7 linked regions of the Oryctolagus cuniculus genome follow. The protein of the gene in region 2 interacts with the protein of the main gene of each other region in a pairwise test. Links are inferred from orthologs where the notes say so. Each region holds a gene or a part of one and is shown on either strand. Other genes may lie near its edges.

What was found.
Region 1: the proteins of ZBTB8A (region 2) and DDX6 interact in binary tests that used the Homo sapiens proteins (3 or more experiments, as listed by UniProt). The two-hybrid records come from large-scale screens. The link is inferred for Oryctolagus cuniculus from reciprocal best matches to the Homo sapiens genes ZBTB8A and DDX6.
Region 3: the proteins of ZBTB8A (region 2) and KIF5B interact in binary tests that used the Homo sapiens proteins (3 or more experiments, as listed by UniProt). The two-hybrid records come from large-scale screens. The link is inferred for Oryctolagus cuniculus from reciprocal best matches to the Homo sapiens genes ZBTB8A and KIF5B.
Region 4: the proteins of ZBTB8A (region 2) and KIFC3 interact in binary tests that used the Homo sapiens proteins (3 or more experiments, as listed by UniProt). The two-hybrid records come from large-scale screens. The link is inferred for Oryctolagus cuniculus from reciprocal best matches to the Homo sapiens genes ZBTB8A and KIFC3.
Region 5: the proteins of ZBTB8A (region 2) and FAM161A interact in binary tests that used the Homo sapiens proteins (3 or more experiments, as listed by UniProt). The two-hybrid records come from large-scale screens. The link is inferred for Oryctolagus cuniculus from reciprocal best matches to the Homo sapiens genes ZBTB8A and FAM161A.
Region 6: the proteins of ZBTB8A (region 2) and RAD23A interact in binary tests that used the Homo sapiens proteins (3 or more experiments, as listed by UniProt). The two-hybrid records come from large-scale screens. The link is inferred for Oryctolagus cuniculus from reciprocal best matches to the Homo sapiens genes ZBTB8A and RAD23A.
Region 7: the proteins of ZBTB8A (region 2) and ZGPAT interact in binary tests that used the Homo sapiens proteins (3 or more experiments, as listed by UniProt). The two-hybrid records come from large-scale screens. The link is inferred for Oryctolagus cuniculus from reciprocal best matches to the Homo sapiens genes ZBTB8A and ZGPAT.

Annotation. Positions count from the first base shown.
Region 1 is NC_091432.1:111,456,547-111,460,534, reverse strand, and holds the start of DDX6 (probable ATP-dependent RNA helicase DDX6), read right to left. Parts: upstream 2,801-3,988; 5' UTR 2,675-2,800; intron 2,103-2,674; exon of another isoform or gene 1,631-2,102; intron 1,612-1,630; exon of another isoform or gene 1,513-1,611; intron 1,435-1,512; exon of another isoform or gene 1,013-1,434; intron 1-1,012.
Region 2 is NC_091438.1:139,931,921-139,935,420, forward strand, and holds part of ZBTB8A (zinc finger and BTB domain-containing protein 8A), read right to left. Parts: intron 2,211-3,500; coding exon 2,041-2,210; intron 1-2,040. UniProt on the Homo sapiens protein: May be involved in transcriptional regulation.
Region 3 is NC_091444.1:102,466,854-102,470,353, forward strand, and holds part of KIF5B (kinesin-1 heavy chain), read right to left. Parts: intron 3,411-3,500; coding exon 3,362-3,410; intron 2,818-3,361; coding exon 2,762-2,817; intron 2,673-2,761; coding exon 2,585-2,672; intron 2,403-2,584; coding exon 2,278-2,402; intron 680-2,277; coding exon 575-679; intron 286-574; coding exon 140-285; intron 1-139. UniProt on the Homo sapiens protein: Microtubule-dependent motor required for normal distribution of mitochondria and lysosomes. Can induce formation of neurite-like membrane protrusions in non-neuronal cells in a ZFYVE27-dependent manner.
Region 4 is NC_091449.1:41,234,508-41,238,007, forward strand, and holds part of KIFC3 (kinesin-like protein KIFC3), read right to left. Parts: intron 3,226-3,500; coding exon 3,067-3,225; intron 2,970-3,066; coding exon 2,730-2,969; intron 2,324-2,729; coding exon 2,150-2,323; intron 1,682-2,149; coding exon 1,534-1,681; intron 1,004-1,533; coding exon 873-1,003; intron 1-872. UniProt on the Homo sapiens protein: Minus-end microtubule-dependent motor protein. Involved in apically targeted transport. Required for zonula adherens maintenance.
Region 5 is NC_091433.1:140,969,778-140,972,413, reverse strand, and holds the end of FAM161A (protein FAM161A), read right to left. Parts: intron 1,676-2,636; coding exon 1,521-1,675; intron 1,065-1,520; coding exon 929-1,064; 3' UTR 501-928; downstream 1-500. UniProt on the Homo sapiens protein: Involved in ciliogenesis.
Region 6 is NC_091447.1:62,405,102-62,409,063, forward strand, and holds the start of RAD23A (UV excision repair protein RAD23 homolog A), read left to right. Parts: upstream 1-1,162; 5' UTR 1,163-1,322; coding exon 1,323-1,394; intron 1,395-2,913; coding exon 2,914-3,075; intron 3,076-3,198; coding exon 3,199-3,380; intron 3,381-3,508; coding exon 3,509-3,564; intron 3,565-3,669; coding exon 3,670-3,797; intron 3,798-3,877; coding exon 3,878-3,956; intron 3,957-3,962. UniProt on the Homo sapiens protein: Multiubiquitin chain receptor involved in modulation of proteasomal degradation. Binds to 'Lys-48'-linked polyubiquitin chains in a length-dependent manner and with a lower affinity to 'Lys-63'-linked polyubiquitin chains.
Region 7 is NC_091442.1:341,323-344,822, forward strand, and holds the end of ZGPAT (zinc finger CCCH-type with G patch domain-containing protein), read right to left. Parts: intron 2,206-3,500; coding exon 2,072-2,205; intron 1,954-2,071; coding exon 1,798-1,953; intron 1,404-1,797; coding exon 1,284-1,403; intron 1,190-1,283; coding exon 787-1,189; intron 699-786; coding exon 560-698; 3' UTR 337-559; downstream 1-336. UniProt on the Homo sapiens protein: Transcription repressor that specifically binds the 5'-GGAG[GA]A[GA]A-3' consensus sequence. Represses transcription by recruiting the chromatin multiprotein complex NuRD to target promoters.

The sequences.
Region 1 (3,988 bases), on a different chromosome or scaffold from region 2:
TTCTCACATACACAGAGCTGTTTATTTTTAAAGTCTTCCTGAATCAGAGCACTTAGAGGAGGTTATGAACCTTTCCCGTATTGACAGCTTTAGATTATGATCAACCGTATCACATAGTTCATATAGGGAGACTTATTTGTTTGCAAAACATTAGGAGGATGAACAAGGCAATCTCTTAAAAACGAAACCGTATCTTCATTACTGCCCATCACCGCGCATCTCCCTAAATCCAAAATAAGACTATGTGCTAACTGCTCCCCTCTTAAACTGAAACCTGCACTGCAGCTTTATGTCTCAGAGAGGAAATATTCCTCCTACCCCTTCCCAATTTAGATGTGCAGGTTATAGTTCTACGTTAAGAAAAAAAAAAAAAAAAAAAGACAAAACGTAGACTATCTGGGAGGAGCCCCTGGTGGAATTAATTACAGCACTTCCCAGATCGTAGTTAGCAATTGACAGTTTCACACCCAAAACAGTACCGTCATCTCCAACGAGAGCTTTTGTTTGCAAATGCAGCGCAGTTTCTCCAAGCTCTGGCTGCAAGTTGGAGTGACTGGGTTTTATTCCGAAGAGAGGGAGCGGGGGATCGCGGAAAAGGAGTCAAGCCAGTGTCGGGAGCCCCGCAACTGTATGGCACTCATTTCTTCCCCTGCCTCCCCCCAGTCTCACACTTCGAGTCAGCTCCTTCAGACCACAAAAACAAAACGGTTGGGTCCCCGCAATCCTATCTGCGCAACAAGGGCCAAAACTCAGCTCCGCGGCAGCAAACAATAGGGACTGCTCCAATAAAGGGCCCGAAGAGACCCCTACAACCTAGGACGCCCCTCCTTCCCTCCGCGACCCGGGGGCTCCACCAACACCCTCTGTTTATCGACCTACAAGGCCTACTGCAATCAGGCAGCAGCCGGTCCTCCTCCAGCCGGAGCCCTCCAACACGGCAGATCCGTGCCGCCCCCTGTAGGGCTGCCTCGTACCCCATAACCTCCAACATCATCTCCCCCCCAGCCCTTACCGCCCCCTCGGGTCCCCACAGCCCCTCGTCTTCCACAAAACTCCTCGGAGCACTCGGCCCGCTCCTCCTCCTGACCCCGCCGCGCACTGCATTCCCATATTCGACTCCTCTGAGGCGCCCCCACCCCACACAGCTGCCGCCCGCCCTTCCTCCCCCAGGCCCGGCCAGGCCTTGGGCCTCCGCCCGGAGCGAACCCCTCGCCGGCCCGAGGGGCTCCCTGAAGCCCCCACGGCACCGCCGACCTCGACCCCGCCGCCTCACCCCCGCGCCCCGCGGCTCTGGCCCGAGTCCTACCACCGAGGCCACTCCCGCTCGGCACCCTCGGTCCTTTATTGTTGACTCGAAGCTCCCAAAATGGCGGCGGCTCCTTCCTCCTCGGAAACCTCCGCCCGCCCCCACCCGGCCCCTCGCTGTGGCCGCCCCCGCCCCCGCCCCCGCCGCACTCCCGGGGCCGCGCCGCCGGCAGCCCGCGCCGCCGGCTGCCGGGCCGCCCAGCCTACCTCCGCCGCTGCCCGCTCTCTCGGCGCCGCCGAAGTCGCCGCCGAGCTGAGCTAACTCGGCTGTCTGCCCCCTCCCTCGCCCGCCCGCCGCCGCCTCCCTCCCTCCCTCTTTCCCTGCCTCTCCGCATGGCGGCGGCCGCGGCTCCTCCTCCACTCAAGATGGCGAGAGCTCGGCTGTCGCGGCCGCCTGGCTTCCCTTCTTCCCTTCTTGACGGCGAGGGGAAGCCCGGCCGGAGAAGCTCCCTGAGGAGGGGGGAAGGAAAAAAAAAAAAAAAGCGGGCCGTTCTCTCACACCGACGGGTGGAAAGCTGCAGGGGGAAGCCCGGCTGCTGTCTGAGGGGACAGGAAGGCCGAGGAGAGATGCTCGGGGAATGGTGGCTGAGGAGAGTCGCCGGCCTTCACGCCTCCTGCGTGAAAACCCGGGGTTGTGACCAGAGGCGGATCTGCTTGTTACTGCCCCAAGACCGGTCCCCAGCACTGCCGGGCCGGAGGCGGGAGGCTGACCTGGCACCCCCGCGGGCCGGGGGCCGCGTCCGAGCCCCTCGCGCCGCGTCTCCGCCCGGGAGCGCGCGGAACCAGAGGCCCCCACGCGCCCGCCGACGCGCGCCCGGGGGCGGGAGGGGGGCGGCCTGGGACCCGCGGTGGGGAGGGCCCCGGGGCGCGCGGAGGGCGGGCAGGGGGGGTGTAGGGACCGCGCCGGGCGGAGACCGTGCGCCTGGGAGGGGGAGCTGCGGAGAGCACGCGGGGTCTGGGAGGCGACCCCGCCGTTAGGGCGCAGGGCTGGGCGGCGCGACCCCCCTCTACTGCCGAGATCCTCCAGGGAGGGGCCGAGCCTCCCCCCAGAGGGGAACAGCACTGAGTCGTCTCGGTGGAAGCCGGGCAGTCGGTAAAGATCTGGGCGCCCGCAGGCGGAGAGTTTTTTCTCCCGCCCGCCCCTCACTTGTAAAGATTTTTAGGCATTTCTCCTCATGATTACTTCTCAGACCCTAGCGTCTCCGTTTATCCCCAACAGAATAACAGAAATGCTGTGGTGTCTCAAGTAAGAAAAAAAAAATTTGGCTAGGCCGAGGGAAAGTAAAATCCTAGGTCGCACCCGGCTGGGAAGCGGAATATACAAACGGACAATGGCCAAAGCGTATGTGACAATAGGACTCCGACCCACCTCCGCAGCAGCGAGCCCAGAACGGTCAGCACTTGCTCACTGACTGGCAGCTTCCATGTTTTTTTGCCGCTGTGCCGCTGTCCCCAACTCGGAGCCAATCAGAGAAAGCCAAATATGCCGCCGCAACCAATCACGTCCGAGGCCCTGCTTCTCGCTCGCCCTCCTCCCGCTTCCCGGTGCCAGCACGCGCCAATCGCGGCCGACCTGACGCCTTCCCCGTTTTTCACCATGAAGCTTTCCTACTCCCCCGCCTGCCTGGTCCCCACCACTCCGAGGGGTCGTGGCTGCGGATCCTACGGCACGCTCTGAACGCAAAGCCTGGTCTCGTTTGGCGGTCTGGAAAGGCTGTCGAGAGCAGTGAAAAGACTACCCTTGACGTTAAAAAAAAAGTCCCCTTATTTTTTTTTTAAATTCTAGGTTTAGAGCATGCCATCTCCCACCCAGATTTTAAAACACCTAGTCGTGAAGAGAGAAACCCTGCACCCTATTCCATCCTGTAGAGAAGACGGCTGGGTGATACCGTGTGAGATCCTCTTTGCCTCACTCTCTTCCCACGTATCAGGTGTGTGAAGGGTTGGGAAAGGGGCTTCAGGATTTACACCAGGTCCCTTCCCCCACACTGCTCAAGGAAAGGGTCCACAAATAAACTGTAGCCTGGATGAGGTCACGACAAAAATGGGCAATATGAAATGACCACCCATCTCACCTAGGAGTCCTTCTGAGGCGAAAACCTTTCGAAATTCTGTATAATGATCTTTTAAGATGGGTAAATACTCTCACATTGTTGGCCCTTTTCAGTTTTCTGATGGGATACGTAGATGGTTTAAAATTAAGCTAGGAACCCTGGATCTTTTATTCTAGATTCAGCTTTAGTGGTTGATAGGTCAAACCATTTCAAACCATTTTGTCCTTGCTGTTTTCAAACAGATTAGCAAGAATTGTGAAATATGACACTTTAGGAAAAAAGATTATTTGGGGCTGCACAGACTATCATTTATAAAATGTATTTTTAGGGGGTTGGAGAGAGGATAGCTAATGGGTCCAGGGGTGCAGTTGGGCAGGATAACTCTGATTGGCAAGAATTAATTGAATATTTCAAAATAGCCACCTAGCTGCTTTCTCTCTAGGGTGAACACGAGGAACAGAGTTCCCCCCTTCTGTGTGACGAGGTATTTTAAAATCTGGGAGATGGTATGCTAGAAACAGAATTTGAAGAGGATTTTGAATGTTCCTAGCACAAGAAAAGTATGTGAGTCTGAGGTGATAGGTATGCCTGATCATTACATGTTGTACATATGTACATATGTATTGAAA
Region 2 (3,500 bases):
CCATTTGCTGGTTCAATCCCCAAATGCCTGCAACAACTGGGGCTGGACCAGGCCAAAGCTAGAAGCCAGGAAATTCATCCAGGTCTCTCACATGGGTGATAGGAACCCAAGTACTGGAGCCAGCACCTGCTGCCTCCCAGGGTGAATTAACAGGAAGCTGGATTAGAAGCAGAGGTGGTGTGCCGGCAGTGTGGCACAGCAGGTAAAGCCGCTGCCTGTGATGCTGGCATCCCATATGGGTGCAGATTCGAGACCCAGCTGCTCCACTTCCAATCCAGCTCCCTGCTAACATGCCTGGGAAAGCAACAGAATACAGCCCAAGTGCTTGGGCCCCTGCCACCCATGTGGGAGAGCAGGAAGAAACTTCTGCCTTTAGCCTGGCCCAGCCATGGCCATTGTAGCCATCTGTGGAGTGAACCAGCATATGGAAGATCTCTCTCTCTCTCCCTCTCTCTAATTCTGACTGTCAAAAAAAAAAAAAAAAAAAAAAAAGTCTGGTTTCATGACATTAATGAAGGCAGAGTTTGCTTGGCTCACTGCCATATACCTATCACTTAGTGACATTAGCAGGGAGCTGGATTGGAAGTGGAGCAGCCAGGACTAGAAACGTGCCCATATAGGATGCCACTGTTCCAGGTGGCAGCTTAACCCATTATGCCACAACGCCAGCCCCTATACCTATCACTTAGTAGGTACTCAATATATATTTATCATATAAATAACTGTAAAGCAATATATGAAAAAATCACCTCAAGTAACCTTTAAAATTAAAGAGAATTCTTATTAAGAGAATAATTTTGAAAAATAAGTTTGCTGCAAGATGAAAGCAGAATAATTCCTGCATCGCTGTCTTACTGAACCACCAGGGCACTGAGGTCTGTCTGAGGCTGACAGTCCCTGAATGGGAGTGGCTCTGCGGCCTACCTTCCTTCCTTCCTTCCTTGAGGAGACCGTGGAGAAAATAGAGAGAAACTAGGACAGGTGCGATAGACGGAGGCCAGACAGCCACAACTGGAGTAAGAAGCTGCTAGGGAAAGCTTCAGTAATCCCTGGTAGGGGGCCGGCGCTGTGGCACAGCAGGCAAAGCCACCGCCTGCAATGCTGGCATCTCATATGGGCTCCTGTTCGTGTCCCAGCTGTTCCACTTCTGATCCAGCTCCCTGCTAAAGGCCTGGGAAAAGTAGTGGAGGTTGGCCCAAGTATTTGGACCCCTGCTACCCATGTGGGAGACATGGATAAAGCTCCTGGCTCCTAGAGCCAGGCCCAGACCTGAGCATGGTGGCCATCTAGGAAATGAATCAATAGATGGAAGATCTCTGTCTCTCCCTCTCTTTCTGTAACTCTGGCTTTCAAAACAAATAAATCAATCTTTAAAAAAAAAATCCCTGGTAGTTGCTGAATATAGGAAATAGTGAGTCAGACCTAGATTAAAACACGAATAGCTTATATTATCTATGGCTCTGAGCAGACCAGTGTGCAACACCCTATTAGATTTTATGTGAGTTAAAATGTAAGGGACTTGTGCTGTTGCATAGTGGGTAAAGCTGCTGCCCGCAGTGCCAGCATCCCATATGGGCACTGGTTCTAGTCCACTTCTGATCCAGCTCTCTGCTATGGCCTGGGAAAGCTGAAGATGGCCCAAGTCCTTGGGCCCCTGCACCCACGTGGGAGACCTGGAAGAAGCTCCTGGCTCCTGGCTTCAGATCGGCCCAGCTCTGGCCATGGCAGCCATTTGGGGAGTGAGCCAGCAGATGGAAGATTTTATCTCTCTGCCTCTGCCTCCATGTAACTTTCAGATAAATAAATAAATAAATCTTTAAAAGATGGAAATACAAAACCATTGATCATCACAAGACTATCTCTGACTTCAGGATTTCAAAGGAGATGTTACAATCTGTATGTACATTTATGTACACATGTGATGATGCCTTATGTGCAAAGCAGAAATGTTAAACTGAGTTATATGAAAACCAGGTTATCCCAAAGCAGACACATGCATGTGCTTCTCAAGAAGCAAAACGATGGCAGCTGCATACGTACTGTTCGAAAATGGCTACTCAGATGGTCCAGCCTGCTAAATCTCTTCCCACAAGCTTGGCACGGGTAGGGCCTTTCCCCCGTGTGGCAGCGCAGGTGGCGCTTCAGGTCTGCTTTCCGCTTCACCACGTGGGTGCAGTAGGGGCACTTGAACCGCATCCGGGGCAGCTCATCTGTCAGGAGACAGTTCAGTCAATCACCGAGCCCTCCAGTAACTACTCTACCAACAGGAAGAATCCAAAAGGAGTCGGCGTGCCCCGTCTCGGAAAGGAAGGAGAAACAGAGGAGACAGACATTTTAAGACTAGATTGTCGGCCGGCGCCGCGGCTCACTAGGCTAATCCTCCGCCTTGCGGCGCCGGCACACCGGGTTCTGGTCCCGGTCGGGGCGCCGGATTCTGTCCTGGTTGCCCCTCTTCCAGGCCAGCTCTCTGCTGTGGCCAGGGAGTGCAGTGGAGGATGGCCCAGGTGCTTGGGCCCTGCACCCCATGGGAGACCAGGAAAAGCACCTGGCTCCTGGCTCCTGCCATCGGATCAGCGCGGTGCGCCGGCCGCGGCGGCCATTGGAGGGTGAACCAACGGCAAAAGGAAGACCTTTCTCTCTCTCTCTCTCTCTCTCTCACTGTCCACTCTGCCTGTCAAAAAAAATAAAAAAAAGACTAGATTGTCAACGAATCTGTGGCACAGGATAACTTCTGGATTTGGTGTAAAGTCTGTTAAGTTCAGACTTCCATACGTATCTGTTTAGTTAATGCAGAGGAGTTAGTTGATGTTGATAGTAATGATTTTAAATGTAAAAAGGTAATATTCAATTTTAAGACTCCAGACATCATCTAAAATCAAAGCATTTAATATTTGATTTAAAAAAAAATTTATTCATGTATTTGAAAGACAGAGTGAAAGAGAGGAAGAGATGGAGAAAGAAAGAGTTTCCATTTCTGGTTTACTACTCAAATGGCTGCAACAGCCAGGGCTAGGATGCCAGGAGCTTGAAACTCCTTCTGGGTCGCCCACAAGGGTGGCAGGAACCCAAGTACCTGAGCCATCATCTTCGGCCTCCAAGGAGCATTAGCAGGAAGCTGGATCAGAACAGGCAGCCCTTAAACCAGGTACTCTGACATGTGACGCAGGTGTCACAGATGACTTAACCTGCTGTGCCACAACACCTGCCCCAGGATTTCAGTTTTAAGTAACTTTTTTGTATATTTCTATTCCCTTGCCTTTACTTTTCATACACTTTTTCTGAAGGTGAAAAAATTTCAAGGATCTTTAATGTTTTGCTTTGAAGCTGACAATTACATTTAAAAATGTTAGTTGTGATTGGAAGCAAATATCAATTTAACAGCTGTTAAAGTCAGGTCATTATTGATGTTACATTTAAGTAATCTAGAATTATAAAAGTAGAGAGCCCAAATGAAAAAAAAAATAGTCTTTTTGAGGTTTAAAATGCAACAAGGGTTTCCC
Region 3 (3,500 bases), on a different chromosome or scaffold from region 2:
ACCTAGTATTATCTGCCTCTCAGCTAGAAAGAAATATCTCTTCCACTAACGATATGCACTGATCGTTAACTGTCTGCCATCAACACATTCAATAATCAAAAGGCCTATCTACATTTAGGCTTTCATTTTCTTAACAAACCTTTGACCAAACAGGAGTGTGGATTTTGTTTCAGACTCATTGTATGATGATGGAGAGCAGCAAATTACAATAGTGGTTCTACAGTTGCCACCTAATGAATCTTGAAGGATTCTTGTCATTTTACTATCTCGATATGGAACATAAGTCTACACACAAAAACAAAGAAAAAGAAATAAGACAAATAGGTTTCCATACAATAAAAATTTGTTATAAATATGTTGACTTATAGTTACTGCCCTCTATTAAGATTGGAACTAGGATACAGATACGAATACTGTGAATAAATTTTCTTTAAAAGATAACCAATTTACACATATTGATTGAAACACAGCGAATTTTCTCCTCACTCTTACACGCCATACAGAGTCAAGCATACACATACACCTAAATAATTCCCCATAAAACAGCAGGGAAACAGAAGGCACGGATACTCACGCTGCCCTCAGCCAGAGCAGAGATGACATTCCCAAGAGCAGAAAGTGACTTGTTGATGTTCTTAGCTTCATCTAGCACAGCACCTTCAGCTCCAGTTTTACTAACCTACACGTTAGATTTCAAAAGAAGGAAAAATTGTCATTTTAAGATGATATTCTTTGAATTTTCTAAAAGGTTTACAAGTCATCAATAACCAGCTAAAAAAAGAAGGAACAAAGTGAAAAGTTTCATGACGTTGTTTGCTAGGCATTTACTCTTGGTACTAGTCACTTCTTGAGTACTTTTCTGAGAACTTAATCAAGCAACTAGATGCAGACAAGAACATGATTGGAGACATCAAATTTTGTTTTTGCTTGTGCTCTTGAAGATAGCCAATTTACAAGTAAATTTTAGCTCATTCATCTGTTGGTCCCCTACATTAGAAAAGAGGAACCTTTTAAGTTTTCCTAAAGCATCATGATGTGATTGTTAAAAAGAGACTGAATTTAAACATATTATATAACAAGATTAAAGAGTCTTTGAGATATGTGTACAACTTTTAACTAGAAGGGAATAGGCATCACCATTCAACTGAGAAGAAACAAAATTAGCAGAACAGTAAAAATGGTCACAGAGGTCAATATTAAAAAACATTTCAACTTATTTTGACTTGACTAGAATCATATTTTTAGGACTGATAATGAGATAATCATCCAAAGGAAAAGAAATGAGTTGGCCTCCATATCTGTGGGTTTCATATCCATGGAATCAGCCAAGTGCAGAAGAAAATATCTGAAAACAATGGAAGTGCCTGTACTGAACATGTACAGACATTTTCCCCTAAACAGTAAAACAACTACGAATACCTTATTAGGAGATGATTTAAGTATACTAGAAGATAAGCACAGGTTATATCAAAGATTATGTACAGTGTTTTATACAAGGTACCCGAGCATCCAAGACTCTGGTATCTGAGGGGGATCCTGGAAACAATCCCTACTGACAGTGAGGGATGACTATAGAACCAAATCAGAAAGGACTAATGGACAGTTACCAGTTTCAATAGGGAGCTCACTGCCAATACAGATAAAAGAGATATGGGACTAAGATTGTGGCGTAGCAGATAACACCACCACCTGCAATGCCAGCATCATATACTGGTGCTGGTTCATGTCCCAGCTCTTGCATTTCCAATCCAGCTCCCTGCTAATGGGCTAGGAAAAGCAGCGGAAGATGGTCCAAGTGTCTGGGCCCTTGCTACTCACATGAGAGACCCAGAAGATGCTCCAGGCTTCAGCCTGGTCTAGCCCTAGCACTTGCGGCCATCTGGGAAATGAACCAGAGGATGGAAGATCTCTCTCTGTAATTCTGACTTTCAAATCAATCAATCAATCTTAAAAGAGATACCCGATATTAGCAAAGAGATATTTAATAAATCATTACTTAATAATAATATGTAATAAAATTTATAATAGCATATGCTGAACAAGTTTTCATTAAAAACATATATCTTAACTCAAAGGTAACAGTTGAGCCAAAATGGCCAAATAGAAGTTAATTAAGAATCGCTAATTTTGTTTACGTAATCATAAAGCTTTGACATCAATAATTATAATTCCCAGATAAATCCAATTAGGAAATTTTAAACATCACATATAAATCCCAATTTAAGGTAAGTTTATATAATGTTTAAATATCCTTGTCAGAATATGTGAACACTATACCTTTTCACTACCAGCTAAATCAACCAGATAAAGTTTTCCACTCAGCTTTTGTTCTGTTTGCGTGTTCTCTTGTTTCACGTTAATAAGAAATATACTGTGACTCCTAGAGCTATGTTCATTCATATCTGCAATGAAAATACAGAAAAACTATAAATAAGCATGACTTTCTCTTACTAATAATTTCCCTAAAGAATTATTTTACATAAAGTCTTAAAATCAATCACCTGAATAGGATATCCAGTTATTCTTACATCTTTTAAGGATAAAAAGCCATTTTATTGTACCTTAACAAATGTTAAATACTTACTTGTAACTGCTACATGTCTGTTGGATTTTCCTTCATCTATAGTATCCATAACTTCATCTGGACTACATACAAAACGCTCTGTGCACCCCTGTGAAATAATTTTGCAAAAAATATGTCAATATCCTTTAAAATTTATTACAAGGCTTTTCTAAACATTCTCTATTATTTTGTAAGTACCTTTACATAGGGGACTCGGTTTTTGTCTTCATGAACTGAAAGGTTGGTCTTTGAAACTGAAAAAGAAAAGTAACTTTAGCAACATTCTTCTAAAATCTAACACTAGTTATGAAATAGAATTGACAGGCTTCCCCAAGCAGCCCAATAATAGGTCAATCGGAAAAACAAAAATGAAAACACCACTATTAAAGCAAGACCTTATTGTCATATTAGCACACTTAAGTAGAAACCAATGCACAATACAGAATTTAGGCCCATTTCACCTTCTGCCACCTACATTCTGTAAACAAGAACATTAAGCTTGAGTGGTTCAAAGATTTGCCCAAGAAGAACAACGTATCTAACAGCTGATGGAAGAACTGAAGGTAGAAGTCAAAAATGCAGGGCTCAGGTTCTCTAGCTCCTTTCCTATGCTGTAATTACTACTTAAGAAGTAGCTTGCCTTAAGCAAGTTATTCTTTTTGTCAAAAGTATTCAATATCTTAAAACTTAAAAAATCTAATTATCTATTTCCTATAGTTTGTCAGTTTCACATAAGGTACTAAAAATATTAGTAACAAGTACTACTTAAAACAATAAAAGAACAAGGATTTAACTTACCATCTAATAGGTCCCTTATCTTATCCAAATATATTTCAAAATATGAAACCTAAAGGGTAAACAAATAAAAAAGGAAAAAATGATTGAACACCTTATTCACTTATTAAATATTTATGAGGTTTGAATGCCAGGTACTGCC
Region 4 (3,500 bases), on a different chromosome or scaffold from region 2:
CGGCTCCCTGGCCTGGCTCGCCCCACCGCCCACCCACCAGGGGTGCACCCTGCATCCTGCTGTGGGCTGAGGGTCTGACTGACATGCGCTGTCCTATGTCACCTTTTCCCAGTGACCCCTCGGGTGGCGGGGCTACTACATTCCCACTTCACAGGTGAAGAAACTGAGCCACTGCTTCCCAGTTACCCTGCCCTGTGCAGGGTGCAGCACCAGCACCCGACGGCAACAGCGTTCAGCTAGGCACAAATCCCAGCTCCAGCGGAACAGCTGGGGCGCCTGAGACAACGGCCTCAGCCCCCTCACCTGCAGCGTGGGGCTGACACCACCGAACGCGAGACTACGAGGTGGTGGAGTTCAGGTCCCAGGTACACTTCAGAGGGGGAAAGAGATGCGGAAGCCCCAACCCCGTGTGTCCTCCTTTGTTATTATGAAGGGAGACGCAGACACCAACGGGCTCAACGCGGGCGGCTGCGGGGCTCCTCGGCACCTGCCGCAGGCTTTGACTTTCCCCGAGCTGCGCACCGCTCAGCACTGCTGACAGAAGAACCCGCGGTCTACTCTGCAGAGCCCTGGCGGGCGAATTCAGGGAGCCAAGGGCTTGCACGTGGGAGGCATTTAAGAGACCTGGGCTATTCGCACCCTCTAAGTCCAGTTTTCAAAGTGAAACCTAGCACACGTGAGAACATGCAGTAGGTCTATGGTCACGGTCACACGTGTACAACAGAACAGCCTGCAGTCAGATAGCTGGCCATGGCCAGCGTGTGGGAGCTGCGGAAGTGTCTGTGAATTCGGGAACCGGTCCCGAGTGGATGCTGCGCCTGCCCCAAGGCCCCAGTGCCTCTCCCAGCCCCTGACCCAGCCCCCGCACTCACTTCAGCCTTGACACTCCGGAGGGCCTCCTGCAGCAGCAGGGGGAAGCCGCGCACCTGCCGCTTGAGCCCGTTGTAGTCGTTGGTGAGGGTCCGCAGCGCCGGCTGCAGCGTCAGGAGGTTAGTCCGGACGCCTGCGGGACGCGAGGGGAGTGAGGCTGGCGGGGAGGGAGGGCCGCGGCGGAGTGGGGGCGGTGGGCAGGGCTCGGGCGGGGTGGGAGGGGCCGCCGCGAGGTAGGGGGCAGTGGGCAGGGCTCGGGCGGGGTGGGAGGGGCCGCGGCGAGGTCGGGGGCGGTTGGGCAGGGCTCGGGCGGGGTAGAAGGGGCCGCGGCGGGGTGGGGGGCGGTGGGCAGGGCTCGGGCGGGGTGGGAAGGGCCGCGGCGAGGTGGGGGGCGGTGGGCAGGGCTCGGGCGGGGTGGAAGGGGCCGCGGCGGGGTTGGGGGCGGGCAGGACTCAGGCGCGGTGGGAGGGGCCGCGGCGAGGTGCGGGGCGGTGGGCAGGGCTCGGCCGGGGTGGGAGGGCCAAGGCGGAGCGGGGGCGGTGGGCAGGGCTCGGGCGGGGTAGAAGGGGCCACGGCGGAGTGGGGGCGGTGGGCAGGGCTCGGGCGGGGTGGGAGGGGCCGCGGCGAGGTCAGGGGCGGGCAGGGCTCCAGCGACCGCCTCACCTGCCAGGTTCTCGTGCACGGCCTTCATTTCCACCTGGGCTCTGGCAAAGGCCTCTTCGATGGCCCGGTTCTTGTCCTCCTCCAGGGACTGCATCTCCTCCAGCATCTGTCCGTGCGCCCGCTCCAGCTCCGCCTCGTACATGGCAATCTGGCGGCCGGGCCATGAGGAAGCTCAGGGCCGTGGAATGTGGTGGGGGAAGGTACAGGGAGGGGAGCCCCGCCCCTCACCAACACCACACCCCCCTCCTGCACAAGCACACGCGGTAGCAGGGTCAACCGGCTTCTCTCTCCCGGGCCCACGGCTGCGAACTCCATGTAGCTGCCACCACCGTCCCACCTCTCCACCCCTCACCCCCTGCCTTGGGCCCCAGCCCCGCCTGGGCCAGGCCCTGGGGGAGTCAGGAGAACCCGAGCCCCGTGGTGTTGATGGAGCACACCGGGCCTGAACCTCTGCTGGTCGCGTCCCAGAGGGCCCACCGTGGGCGCTGGGAGCAGAGCGCATTATAGATGAGGAAACAGAGACAAATCTTGCCCTTGGTCACAGGGTCAGGAGGGAGAGAAGGCACTGGCCCGTCCCGGCATGCTTAGCCACTGCGCCGTCCCAGCCCCCACCCACCTGTGCACGGAGCTGCGTGGTCAGCTGGTGCGAGCTCTGCAGCTGCTGCTCCATCTCCTTCAGCACCTGCCGCTGCATGGCCACCTGCTCCTGCAGGTGCTGGTTCCGGGCCTGGGACTCGCTGAGCGCCTGCCTGGTCTTGGGCGACTCCACCTCCACCGTCTTGATGACATACTGCAAGGCGAAGGCAGGCGTGTGGGGCCCTGGGAGGTGACCACGGGAGGGGAGCCTCGAGGGGCCCCATCAAGAGCCCCGGGGGGAAAAAAGCGAGAGCAGCCTGGGGTCCTGGCTTTCCAGAACGCACTGGAATCTTCTCATTTTAATGAGAGCCTGCTACGAGCCCAGCTGTGACTCCCACCTGGGCACGGAACAGAGGAGAAGGGCAGAACCCAGAGGGCACACGCGGGCACCCGAGCACTGGGTGTGGACACTTTCTCCGGCCCTGGCCAGCTGCAGAAAGGGGCAAGGCCCAGTGCAGCACGGGACCGAGTCCATTAAATACCCACACCTGTTTTATCCCCACGACGCGCCCCTCTCTCGAGGCTGCCCTGCCCTGGGCCCAGGCGCAGGTGAGGCTCACCTTGACAGGCGGGGACTGGGCCCGCAGGCTGGCGATGGTCTCGTGGCTGTCGCGCAGGCGCCGGCTGAGCCGCTCCTCCTCCTGCGCCTTCTCGGCCAGGCAGTCCTTGAGGCGCAGCTCCACCTCGGCCAGCCGGTCCGTCTTCTGCTGCACCTCCAGGTTCAGCTCGGACAGCACGCCTTTGTTCTCCGCCACTTCCAGCTGCAGCTGGGACAGCTTGTCCCGGAGCTGGGCGCTCTCCTGCGGGGGCGCGGGCCGCCGTGAGGGGCTGCATTCGCATTGAGGAGGAGCTGGACCCTCCGGGACCGACCGGGGCCGGGGTGTGGGGCCGGCTTACCTGGCTGTGTTCGCAGCCCGGGCAGGGCGCTGCCGCCGCCGCCACGGCCGGCTGTGCCCGCAGCCCCTGCAGCTCGGCCTCACAGCGCCGCAGCTCCTGCCTCAGCCGCTCATTCTCCACCGTCAGCCGGTCCCGCAGCTTCTCCAAGTCGGTGCCTCCCTGCGGAGGGCCGGGGCCCAGGGGAGGCATGTGGAGTGGGCAGAGGGGCGGACAAACAGCAGGCAAGGGCCCGAGGAGGAGGAAAGAAAAAGGAGAAACGTGAGAGAGCAGGACATGGAAAGAAACCCAGAGACAGGCGGCAGAGAGGAAGAGAGGCGGCCAGGAGGGGGCCTCCTGCCCCACCCCCCACCTGGCCTAGTTTCCTGAGTGTGAAAGTGCCGAGAAGTCATATTTATGCACAGGGTTCACACTCCTATTTTATGTCAGCCAGCCAT
Region 5 (2,636 bases), on a different chromosome or scaffold from region 2:
CTTGTAAATTCACAAAATCAAATTAACTTCATGCATAGACAAAGTGTGTCTGCAATAATAGGTAAAAAGTTGAGCACAACTAGGTCTAGCATCAAAGTATTAAACCTGAATTACTTTGGAGATTTGCCTTGGACAAGTCACTATGTACGAATTCACCATTTATAAGAGGGATATTTACCTCTAGTTAGGATTATAACTCATAGAGTCCACATTTTTTTCCATCTGTAATACTATGCAAGGTTTAAAAACTAGCACAAAAACTTTCCTATTAATAACTTACATATTAAAATAATTTAGACAAAAACTAGAGCTAAAAAAAGAGAAAATCATAATGGTATGGAGTAAACTCTCAGTGCAGAAATGAATGTAAATTTGCATGTCTATTTTCCCCTTTTATTCCTTTTTAAAAATGGCTCAGATAAAAAACTTAAAATATGTAGCAACACAAGCTTGAGAGCTCATTTTGTGAAATGCAGTGTAGAGAAAAAGAATGGGCAACATTTATAATTTAAAATATTTATTGATTCATGCCTTCCAGAATTTTTTAAAAGGTCAGTCACCAAAGGCCAACACGTTTTTCTGCTCTCAATACTAAGCCATGTTTTTCCACTGACAATAACGAAGTAATGTGTATTTTGACAGCTAATCAGTTGGTGACAGCTGTGAGTCTCTGTTTTTAAATACAAGATCAGAGTTGCAAACAGACCAAATGTAGCAACTGTAAAAAATGAATGGGCCAAGCCTTACTCTAAGTGACCAAATGACCAATCAGCCAGATGCAGCACTCCTAGGCTACAGATGTCTTTGCTCAACAGCTCCGCACATATCTGAGTTGTCTCCATGGATGTTCTCAACGTCACAAATGTGGCTGCGACAGCCCTGATGCTGCAAACAGTATGCAGAGAGCTCGCTGCATGATTCCTCAGTTTTATTCCTCAGCAGGTTTCTCTTCACTTTCTTCTTCAGCTTCAGCTTCTTCCTTGCAAGAATCCTGACTGTTGGCATCAACAAAATAACTTTCTTCCCCATTCTCTCTTTCTTCTATTTTTTCTTCTTCATGAAGGCTAGAGGAAGAAATTTATCAATCTTTGAAAGGAAAAATGAGCTAGCTTAAAGGTAAACAGACTCTGCAATGAATGCCATCGTGGAGCCAGTCTTCCTCAAGTGTCTGAGCTCCAATTTATTGAGAACCAGCTCTATAAAGTGCCAACTGGGAAATTAAATATTCCTCTGGAAACTAATTTATTTCAAATTTGAGCGACTGACTCTTTAAACCTCATATGAAAGAATGCTATTATTTTTGTTATCTATATCAGATAGAAATCATAGTCTGCAAAATACTCCATCACCATGTTAACATTTTGAATGTCAAACGTTAAAATATCAGTGTATGTTTTACAACCATTCATATGTATTCTTTCAGGAAAAAAACCCTTTTTAAAATGATATAGGACAGAATTTTATTCTTTCTTGCAGGTAAGATTTTTTCAAAGGTAAACCATTCATTTTACATATGTTACCTTTCTTTATCTTCACTGAAACTTTGCGATTCTTCATTGGCGAAGCACTCAAGTACTTTTCCACTTTGGCCTTTCCTTGAAACAAACTCATCAGATATTCCTAGTGCTTTTAGGGTGTTAGAATAATGCTTTTCTGCTGCCATCCTTGCATTTTTCTATAGGAAAGACAAACCTTTTAGATGAGAATAAAGACTTTATATTTCCATTAAAATATATGGGTTAAAAGCGCCAGTGAAAATTAAGTTTAACAATCACAGCTGGTTGAAAATATGCATGCTGGGGCTGGCACTGTGGTGCAGTGGGTTAAAGCCCTGGCCTGAAGTGCCTGCATCCCAAATGGGTGCCAGTTCTAGTCCCAATTGCTCCTCTTCCAATCCAGGTCTCTGCTATGGCCTGGGAAAGCAGTAGAATATGGCCCAAGTGCTTGGGCCCCTGCACCCGTGTGGGAGACCCGGAGGAAGCTCCTGGCTCCTGGCTTCAGATCGGCACAGCTCTGGCCATTGCGGCCATCTGGAGAGTGAACCAGTGGATAGAAGACCTTTCTCTCTGTCTCTACCTCTCTTTGTAACTCTGTCATTCAAATAAATAAAATAATTTTAAAAAAAGGAAATATGCATGCTGTATGATTAACAACTGCATTAGTAGATATATACCCACACAAAGTACATGTGAGACCTAGGAGATGTGTAGCAGACTGCTTAGGATAAACTGTGGGATCCTAAGACTGTAAACAGTCCAGATACCTATCAACAGGTAGATGAATAAATAACAACACAGTAAATGTTGTTATTTACTGCCCACATGGATAGTTAATAAAGAAATGAAAATGAATTAACTGGGGGCAGGCATTGTGGAGCCGCCAGTAAAGCCACTGCTAGAGGAGCCTGTATCCCATGTCAAAGAGCCAGTTAGAGTCCTGGCTACTTTGCTTCCAATCCAGCTCTGCTCCTAAGAGACAGCAGAAGATGGCTCAAGTGCTTGGGCTCCTGCTACCCATGTGGGAGACCTAGAAGGAGTTCTAAGCTCCTGGCTTTGGCTTGGCCCAGATCTGGTTGTTGGGAGGCATTTGGGAAGCAAACCAGTAGATGGAAGATCTGTCTGTCCCTCTCTCCCTGC
Region 6 (3,962 bases), on a different chromosome or scaffold from region 2:
ACCAAAGGTGGCCTCTTGGGGCGGGAGGCTTGTTCTTGGAGCCAGTGGAGTTAAGGCTTGAGTCGAGGATCACAGGGGTCCTGGGCTATCCCACGCCCCCCCCCCCTCCCCGCCAACAGGAAAAGGGCTGGGAGCGTCCCAGGTACCAACTGGGCGCTCTGCACCAGCCTGACTAGTATATTGGTTGTAGATACTCAGCTCCATGAATGAGGAAACCCAGGTCCAGGTGTTTGAGGGCAGGGATTACACAGCCTTGCCCCCTGGACCCACGGGCTTCGGGGGCCATCTGGGAAGGGGGTGGACCCAAGGTGGAGGGAGCAGATTGAGTGGGTGCCGAGACAGAGAAGGTGGAGGGCTCTGGAGGGTGGGAGGGCGCCCCTCCATGTCCCTTGGGGGCAGTAGGGGGAAGCAGGAAGCCGTCAACAGCCTGGGAGACCTTGCTGGAAGCTTGTAAGGCTGAGGCTTGGCGTGTAGGGAGAAAAGCGGGGTTGGGGGTGGAGGGGTGTCCAGCTTGGGCGGCAGCATTGAGAAAAGCCAGGTATGGGTCAGGTTAGGGAGCCGGGGTGTTAACCACAGCTCCCTACCTCCAGGCACCGCCCCTGGGTCTGAATCCTAACCTCACCTCCATCCAGTCACCACCGCGGCACCATCTTCAGTTTTGGGCACCCTCGAGTCCCTGTCTGTCTTGCACTGGCCTTACATAAGCCTTGACTTCGGATGGCCCTGCAGGGTTCCGGCCAGGGTGGCCAGCCCATAAGGAAGCTCCTTGGGAGTAGGCAGAAAGTGCAAACAAAAGCTTGACTAGGGCCTGGCTGCAAGATGCCAATCCGGCTTCCCGTTAGGCTGCAGGTGATGGTCCAAGTGGGACACCCGGATTCAGTTCCGGGTTGTTGGCTGGCATTTAGGGAAGAGACCCAGCGGATGGAAGCCTTAATACATGGCGGGAAGAAATTTACATTAGAGACATGAATGTTAAATAGTAAGTGAGAAAAAATGTAGTCAAAATCATCCACCAAAACGACAGCGGAGCCATGTTGCGGCCACATGACGTCACCGCTAGCGGGCATGGCGTCACCCAGGAAGCCTGAAGCCGCCTGCAACGCGGGCTTTAGTCTGCGCATGCGTGGCCCCGGTGGCCTCGCGTGCGCATGCCCACCGAAGCCGAAGGGTCGCGCTGGGGTCACGTGCCTCGGTGGTCAGCGCGCGCGCCGCCTGCCCCGGAAGCGGTCGGCGCGCGGCGCGGCTGGGCGCTAAGATGGCGGCGGCGTGAGTTGCATGTTGTGTGTGAGGATCCGGGGCCGCCGCGTCGCTCGGGCCCCGCCATGGCCGTCACCATCACGTTGAAGACGCTGCAGCAGCAGACCTTCAAGATCCGCATGGAACCTGAGGAGACGGTGCGGGCCGGGCTCGAGCCTGGGGTGGGGGAGTGGGGGGGGAGCGGGTGCGACGGGTGCCGGGGGTGGAGTGGGGGCGGGGAGACCGGGCTTCCAACCGGAGGGGTGGGTGGGGAGGAGGACGGCGCGGGGCCGGGCGGGGGCCCGCTGCCCCAGCATCCCCGATCAGCGGCGCTGCAGGGCGAGGCCGCACCCCCGGGGCGCCCGCCAGGGCCCCGGCTCCGGTGTCAGCGCCCTCGCGGGGCGGGGGACTTGCAGGCTCGGGTTCCCGGGCGGGCCCGGCTCTCCGGAGCTCGGCGTTCCCAGCGTCTCCCGGGGACGTCGGGGGGCGAATCATTGACAGGACTGAGCCGGGTGATGACGACAGCGATGACGACATTGACAGTACACGACCTCGATGGTGTTCGGTGGTCCGCGTGTGTTGTAGCGGTGCCTTGGCTGACGCTGCCGAGCAGGCTTTGTCCGCTTTCGCACATGGGGGCAGCCCAGGGCTTGGGCCGGGGGTCCCAGCCGCGAAGGGGGCAGAGGACGGCGGATCCCGGTTGGGTCGTGCGTGCATGCTCGGGAGAGCCCCGCGCGGTCTCAGCCACGCTGCTCTGAGCTGAGAGGGAGACATGAGGACCTAATGGAAACTGGGCGCTTCTGTCCACTTTCTGGCGCAAAATAAAGAGGCTTGGGACCTCCGAGCAGCGGGACTGTCACCCTGTGGGCGGGTTTTTTTTTTTTTTTTTCAAACAAAATGAAGTCTGTATATGTGTGTATCAGGGAGTTCCGGAGCTCGGCAAGTGGGAGACGCGGGCACGCGCGCTTACACACACACACACACACACACACACACACGTTTGCCATTAGCCTCAGATGCCCTTAGTAGGGGCTGGCATTAACTTTAAGCTGCTGCCCGCGATATCCGCATCCCATATCCAATCACGGTTCGAGTCCCGGACCCTCCTGACCCAGCTCCCTGCAGATGAGCTCGGGAAGCCGGCGGAAGGGTGGCCCCAAGTGTTTGGGTTCCTGCCACCCCTGGGAGGGCGGGGGAGGGGACACCGGGATCAAGCCTGGCCCAGCCCTGCCCTGGCCTTGTAGCCTATTTGAGGACTGAACCTGCAGATGCAAGATCTGTCTCTCCCTGGCCTTGTGTTTGTCTTTTCAGTAAATAAAGTGAGTACATACATATGTGTTGGTAAACACCGCTGCTGTTGTCCAAAGTGAGCACTGTGGAAATGGGGGACCCCATCTCCCCTTCGCCTTTTCTCCTCACACGGGGCCTCTTTCCCAGGGCAAGGCCTCGCGTGGCGTTCTGTTCCCTGTCTGTAGAAAGCTTCCGCAGGTTGGAACTAGCACCTGCCACGGAGGATGTAGATACGGATGAGGGCCCGGATGTTGGAGGGAATTCCAGTCTCACCTGCTCCGACATCGCGGGGGGACTGGGGGCTCCGGAGCCGGTCCTCTCTGCACCCTAGAAGGGAAGAGAGACGCCGAGGGCTTTGCAGTGACCGGCTGTGCCCTCTCCCTCCAGGTCAAGGTGCTGAAAGAGAAAATAGAAGCCGAGAAAGGCCGTGACGCCTTCCCTGTGGCCGGCCAGAAGCTCATCTACGCTGGCAAGATCTTGAGCGACGACGTCCCCATCCGGGACTATCGCATCGACGAGAAGAACTTTGTGGTCGTCATGGTGACCAAGGTGGGTGGGAGCTGGCCAAGGAGAGATTAGCCCGGGAACCCAGGGCAGGGCCCCGGCTGGGTGGCGTGGTTTGGGTCTGATACGGGATGCCCACGCCCGCCCCCTTTCTGTTGGCTGTCACAGGCCAAGGCTGGCCAGGGCTCCTCGGCACCCCCAGAGGCCTCCCCGACTGCCGCCCCAGAGTCCTCCGCGACCTCGCCAGCAGCCCCTGCCTCAGGCATGTCCCACCCCCCACCGGCCACCCGAGAGGACAAAAGCCCATCGGAGGAGTCGGCGCCCACGACATCCCCGGAGTCTGTGTCCGGGTAAGGCAGGGGACAGCCCTGGGCCGTGTCGTCCCAGCACCTTCCTCCAGTCCCCCCCAGCGCCCTCCGGTGGGGGGAGGGCAGGCCGCCAGGAGCCAGGGTCCGATTTCTCTCTCTTGAATTTGCAGCTCTGTTCCTTCTTCAGGTAGCAGCGGGCGAGAGGAAGATGCGGCCTCCACGCTAGGTGGGTGGGTGGTCCCCAGGGCAGAGCCGTCCGCGGGGGTCTAGTCTAGATGCGGGTGGGCCCCAGTGACCCAGGCCCTGGCATTCCCCCCTGCCCGCCCCGCAGTGACCGGCTCTGAGTACGAGACGATGTTGACGGAGATCATGTCCATGGGCTACGAACGGGAGCGGGTGGTGGCCGCCCTGAGAGCCAGCTACAACAACCCGCACCGAGCCGTGGAGTACCTGCTCACGGTGAGCTGGGGCCGCCCCGCCCGGAGGGCTCCCTGGGCGGCGGGGGGCTGCACGTGGGAACTGACCAGGAGCCCTAACAGGGGATTCCCGGGAGCCCTGAGCCCGAACACGGTTCTGTCCAGGAGAGCCAGGTGTCCGAGCAGCCGGCCACAGAGGCAGGTGAGC
Region 7 (3,500 bases), on a different chromosome or scaffold from region 2:
AACAGGGCACGGGGCCGACCCCCTCGGCTGGGAGACAGGGAGGACACCAGCCTTCCTGGAGCCCTGTGCAGCGTGCCCCCCCCGACCCCCACAGCCTTCCTGGAGCCCTGTGCAGCGTGCCCCCCCCTGACACCCACAGCCTTCCTGGAGCCCTGTGCAGCGTGGCCCCGACACCCACAGCCTTCCTGGAGCCCTGTGCAGCGTGCCCCCCCCCCCGACACCCACAGCTTTCCTGAGCCCCCTGTGCATCGTGGCCCCCCCCGACCCCCACAGCCTTCCTGGAGCCCTGTGCAGCGTGCCCCCCCCGCCCCGACCCACAGCTCAGCCTCCACGGAACACTGATGAAGTGACTTTAATGTCCTAAGGAGAGGCCCAGCACACGGCAGGTGTCCGGAAGTGACCCTCCAGCCCCACCTCCACTGGACAGCGTCTGTGCCCCCGAGGCCAGGGAGCCCACCACGGGGCAGCCTGGGAGCAGAGTCCTTCTTCAGGCAGTGTCCTGGGGTCAGGGCGGCCCCGGGGGCGGGGTCCTGGGCCTCCAGCCCCAGGGGTGGGGCCTCTAGAACTCCGTCATCTTCTTGTGGGTGTCTGCCTTGCTCTGCGCCCGCTGCAGGCCGGCCTCCTGGGCGCGGAGCTGCCCCAGCCGCCGCTGGGCTCCTGCCAGTTTCTCTTCCAGCTGGGCGGCGGCCACGCTGTACCTAGGGAGGGAGCAGTCAGCATGGACCCCGGCCCACTGCCCCCAGGCCAGCCTGCTGCTTCCGGGCCAGGTGTCCGCAGCCTACATACCGGCCGGTGTTCCGGGCCAGGGCCTCCTGGATGGCCCGGATGTCCCGCTGTGTCCGCTCGATCTTCTCTTCCGTCTGGAGGAGCCGCAGGCTCAGGGCCTGCTTGGCGCTCTTGCTGGCGTGGTACATGTCCTTGCCCCTCCTGGACGGGGCCACCTCGGCCTCCGGAGCCCCAGGGGCCTGGCCTTGAAGCTTCTCATTCAGGAAGTCAAACAGGCTCCGAGGGGGCGGGGCACCCCCGGGCCCGCCCCCACGCCCCCGGCTCCGCGGGGCCCTGCTGGCGCCTGCCCCATCCCCCTGCGCCCTCTTCTGCAGGATCTCCGCACACTGGTCCAGCGACTTCCCCCGCGGCAGCACCACCGCCTGCACGGGCTCCACCCTGCCTTCCAGGTTGCGGCCCAGGCCTGGGGAGACAGGGGCTGGCCGTGCTGCTGCTGCACCCCAGGGCTGTCCTGGGCACCCTCCCCCGCCTCCGGGCAGCTGACAGCTCACGCTCACCCTTGCCAAACTCATAGCCCATCTTAGCCAGGAGTCTGGAGCCGATGGCCCGCGTGTGCGCCTCCCAGCCAGCAAAGGCAGAGCTGCAGGTCCCAGTGTCCACGGCGCTCGGCTCCACCACTGCAGGGGACAAGACGGCAGTCACTGGGCCAGGCCAGATCCCAGCTCCCGGGCACGTCCCTGTGCACCTGTGGGCTCGTGACCGCCCCCAGCTCCCCCCACACCTCGCTATGGCCCCTTCTCCAAATCCCACCCTCGATCCTGCCTGCATCGCCCAGGGTACAGGGCCAGGGACACACCAGTCTCTGGAGGGCTGGCCACGCCCACCAGCTTCCCTGCCGGCCACTTCTGCCCCAGCAGTCTGGACGCTGTCTGGACGCCCCCTGGTGCCAGGCCCTGGGGCTGCACGGCCAGTCCTCCCGCGCATGCTCAGCGAGGACCGAAGCAGCAGTCCCCACTGGCCCCGCTGGGCGTCCCCCCGTCCTGGCTCCTGGGCACCAGGCCGTGGCCGTACCGCGGGCATAGCTGGCGCCGTCTGTGTCGCTGCTCTCCGAGTCGGAGGACTCGGTGGCTTCCGTGCGCAGTGGGGGCAGGACGCCGTCGCCTTCCACCACCGCTTCCTTCAGCAGCAGGGAGTCGAACTTGACTGTGTAGTAGCCACTGTCCACATCTGCAAGGACAGGCAGGCTGAGGTGAGCGGCTACAAGCGGGGAGCAGGGGACCAGGCAGGGTCCACCCCAGGGAGGCGCTCGGAGGCCTTCCCAGGAAGGTGACCGGGCCAGCCTCACCAGTGATCCGCGCTGGGTGCCAGAGGCCGTCCTGGTGCTTGGCCAGACACGCAGAGCCGACCTGCAGGGAGCTCAGGTCCGGGTCCTGGAAGGGACGCAGCTCATCGACAGGGACCACCTGCCCGTGGGAGAACCTGCAGAGAGCCACACCGGCTGCTGACGGAGGGCACGCACACACGCGTGTGCTCTCGCACGCACATGCCTGTGCTCACAGAGGCATGCACACACTGGGCCTCTGCTCATCCACGTGTCCTGGGCTACAGGGACCACGTGGCAGCAGCCAGTCTCGCTCCTGCACACACTCAACCTCTGCCTGTCCACGTGTCCTGGGCCACGGTGACTGTGGCCACACCCTGGCCATAGCCTTGGCCCCTCCCCAACGACCCCACCCCAGACAGAAGCAGTCAGTCCCGGCAGACGGGCTGGAGTGACTGCAACAGCGGCGCCTCGACCCTCAGCTCCCAGTGGGCAGCAAAACCAAAACCAAGACCCAGAAGAGACAACGAAGAGGAAATGGCGCGGGCAGACACAGGGCCGTGACCTTTCACCTTGCCCAATAAGACACAGAAATCCCGACTGCATCATTTCAAGAGGGCACGCGTATCTGGCCCTACGGGGGTAGCTCCGCGGCTGCAGCCGCCGCCGTCCTCAGGCCAACAGCTGAGTGGCGGCCGCAGCCGCCGCCGTCCTCAGGCCAACAGCTGAGTGGCGCCGGCAGCTGTGACTGTGCCCAGGATGGCTGGACAGGGCTGCTGGCGGGGGGAGCTGCCAGACACCCCCGCACTCCTGACACAAGCCTCCCAATTCGGAACAGGCTGAGTAGGCCGCAGGCTTTCCTCCAACTGGAAGACCCACGCCTGGGGAGAGGACCCCACACAGGCGCACAGAGCTCACTCCCTGCCCGCGTCGTGCAGGCACAACACGGAAAAGCTGCACCTGGGGTCTGCACGTTTTAGGGTTCATCTATGGGAGAGGCGGAGAGGCCCTCATCCGCTGGTTCACCAAATGCCCACAACAGCCGGGCTGGGCCAGGCTGAAGCCAGGAGCCAGGAGCTCCACCCGGGGCCTTGCAGGGGCTGGCAGGGGCTGGAACACTGAGCACCCCGCCGCCCCCGGCTGCTTCGCAGCTGCAGGAGTGCTGGCCTCACTCACCGCACCGGAGACCGGGCCGCACTCGTCTCACTGCTGAGATACACATCTGTGCCCAACGGTTACGGTTTGGAGCCTTTTGGATCCTGGATCTTGGATCACCTTTAGCTGAACAAGGGCTTCTAGAAATGCCACCATTTGCAAAGATTTAGCAACACAAAGACTTGGAAACAACCACCAACCACAGGAAGGGGAGGGAGGGGAGTCACCCACGTCCACAGAGGGCGCCCAGGGTGACAGAACAAGCAGGGAGCCAGGCAGGTGCCGGGGGCATGCACGC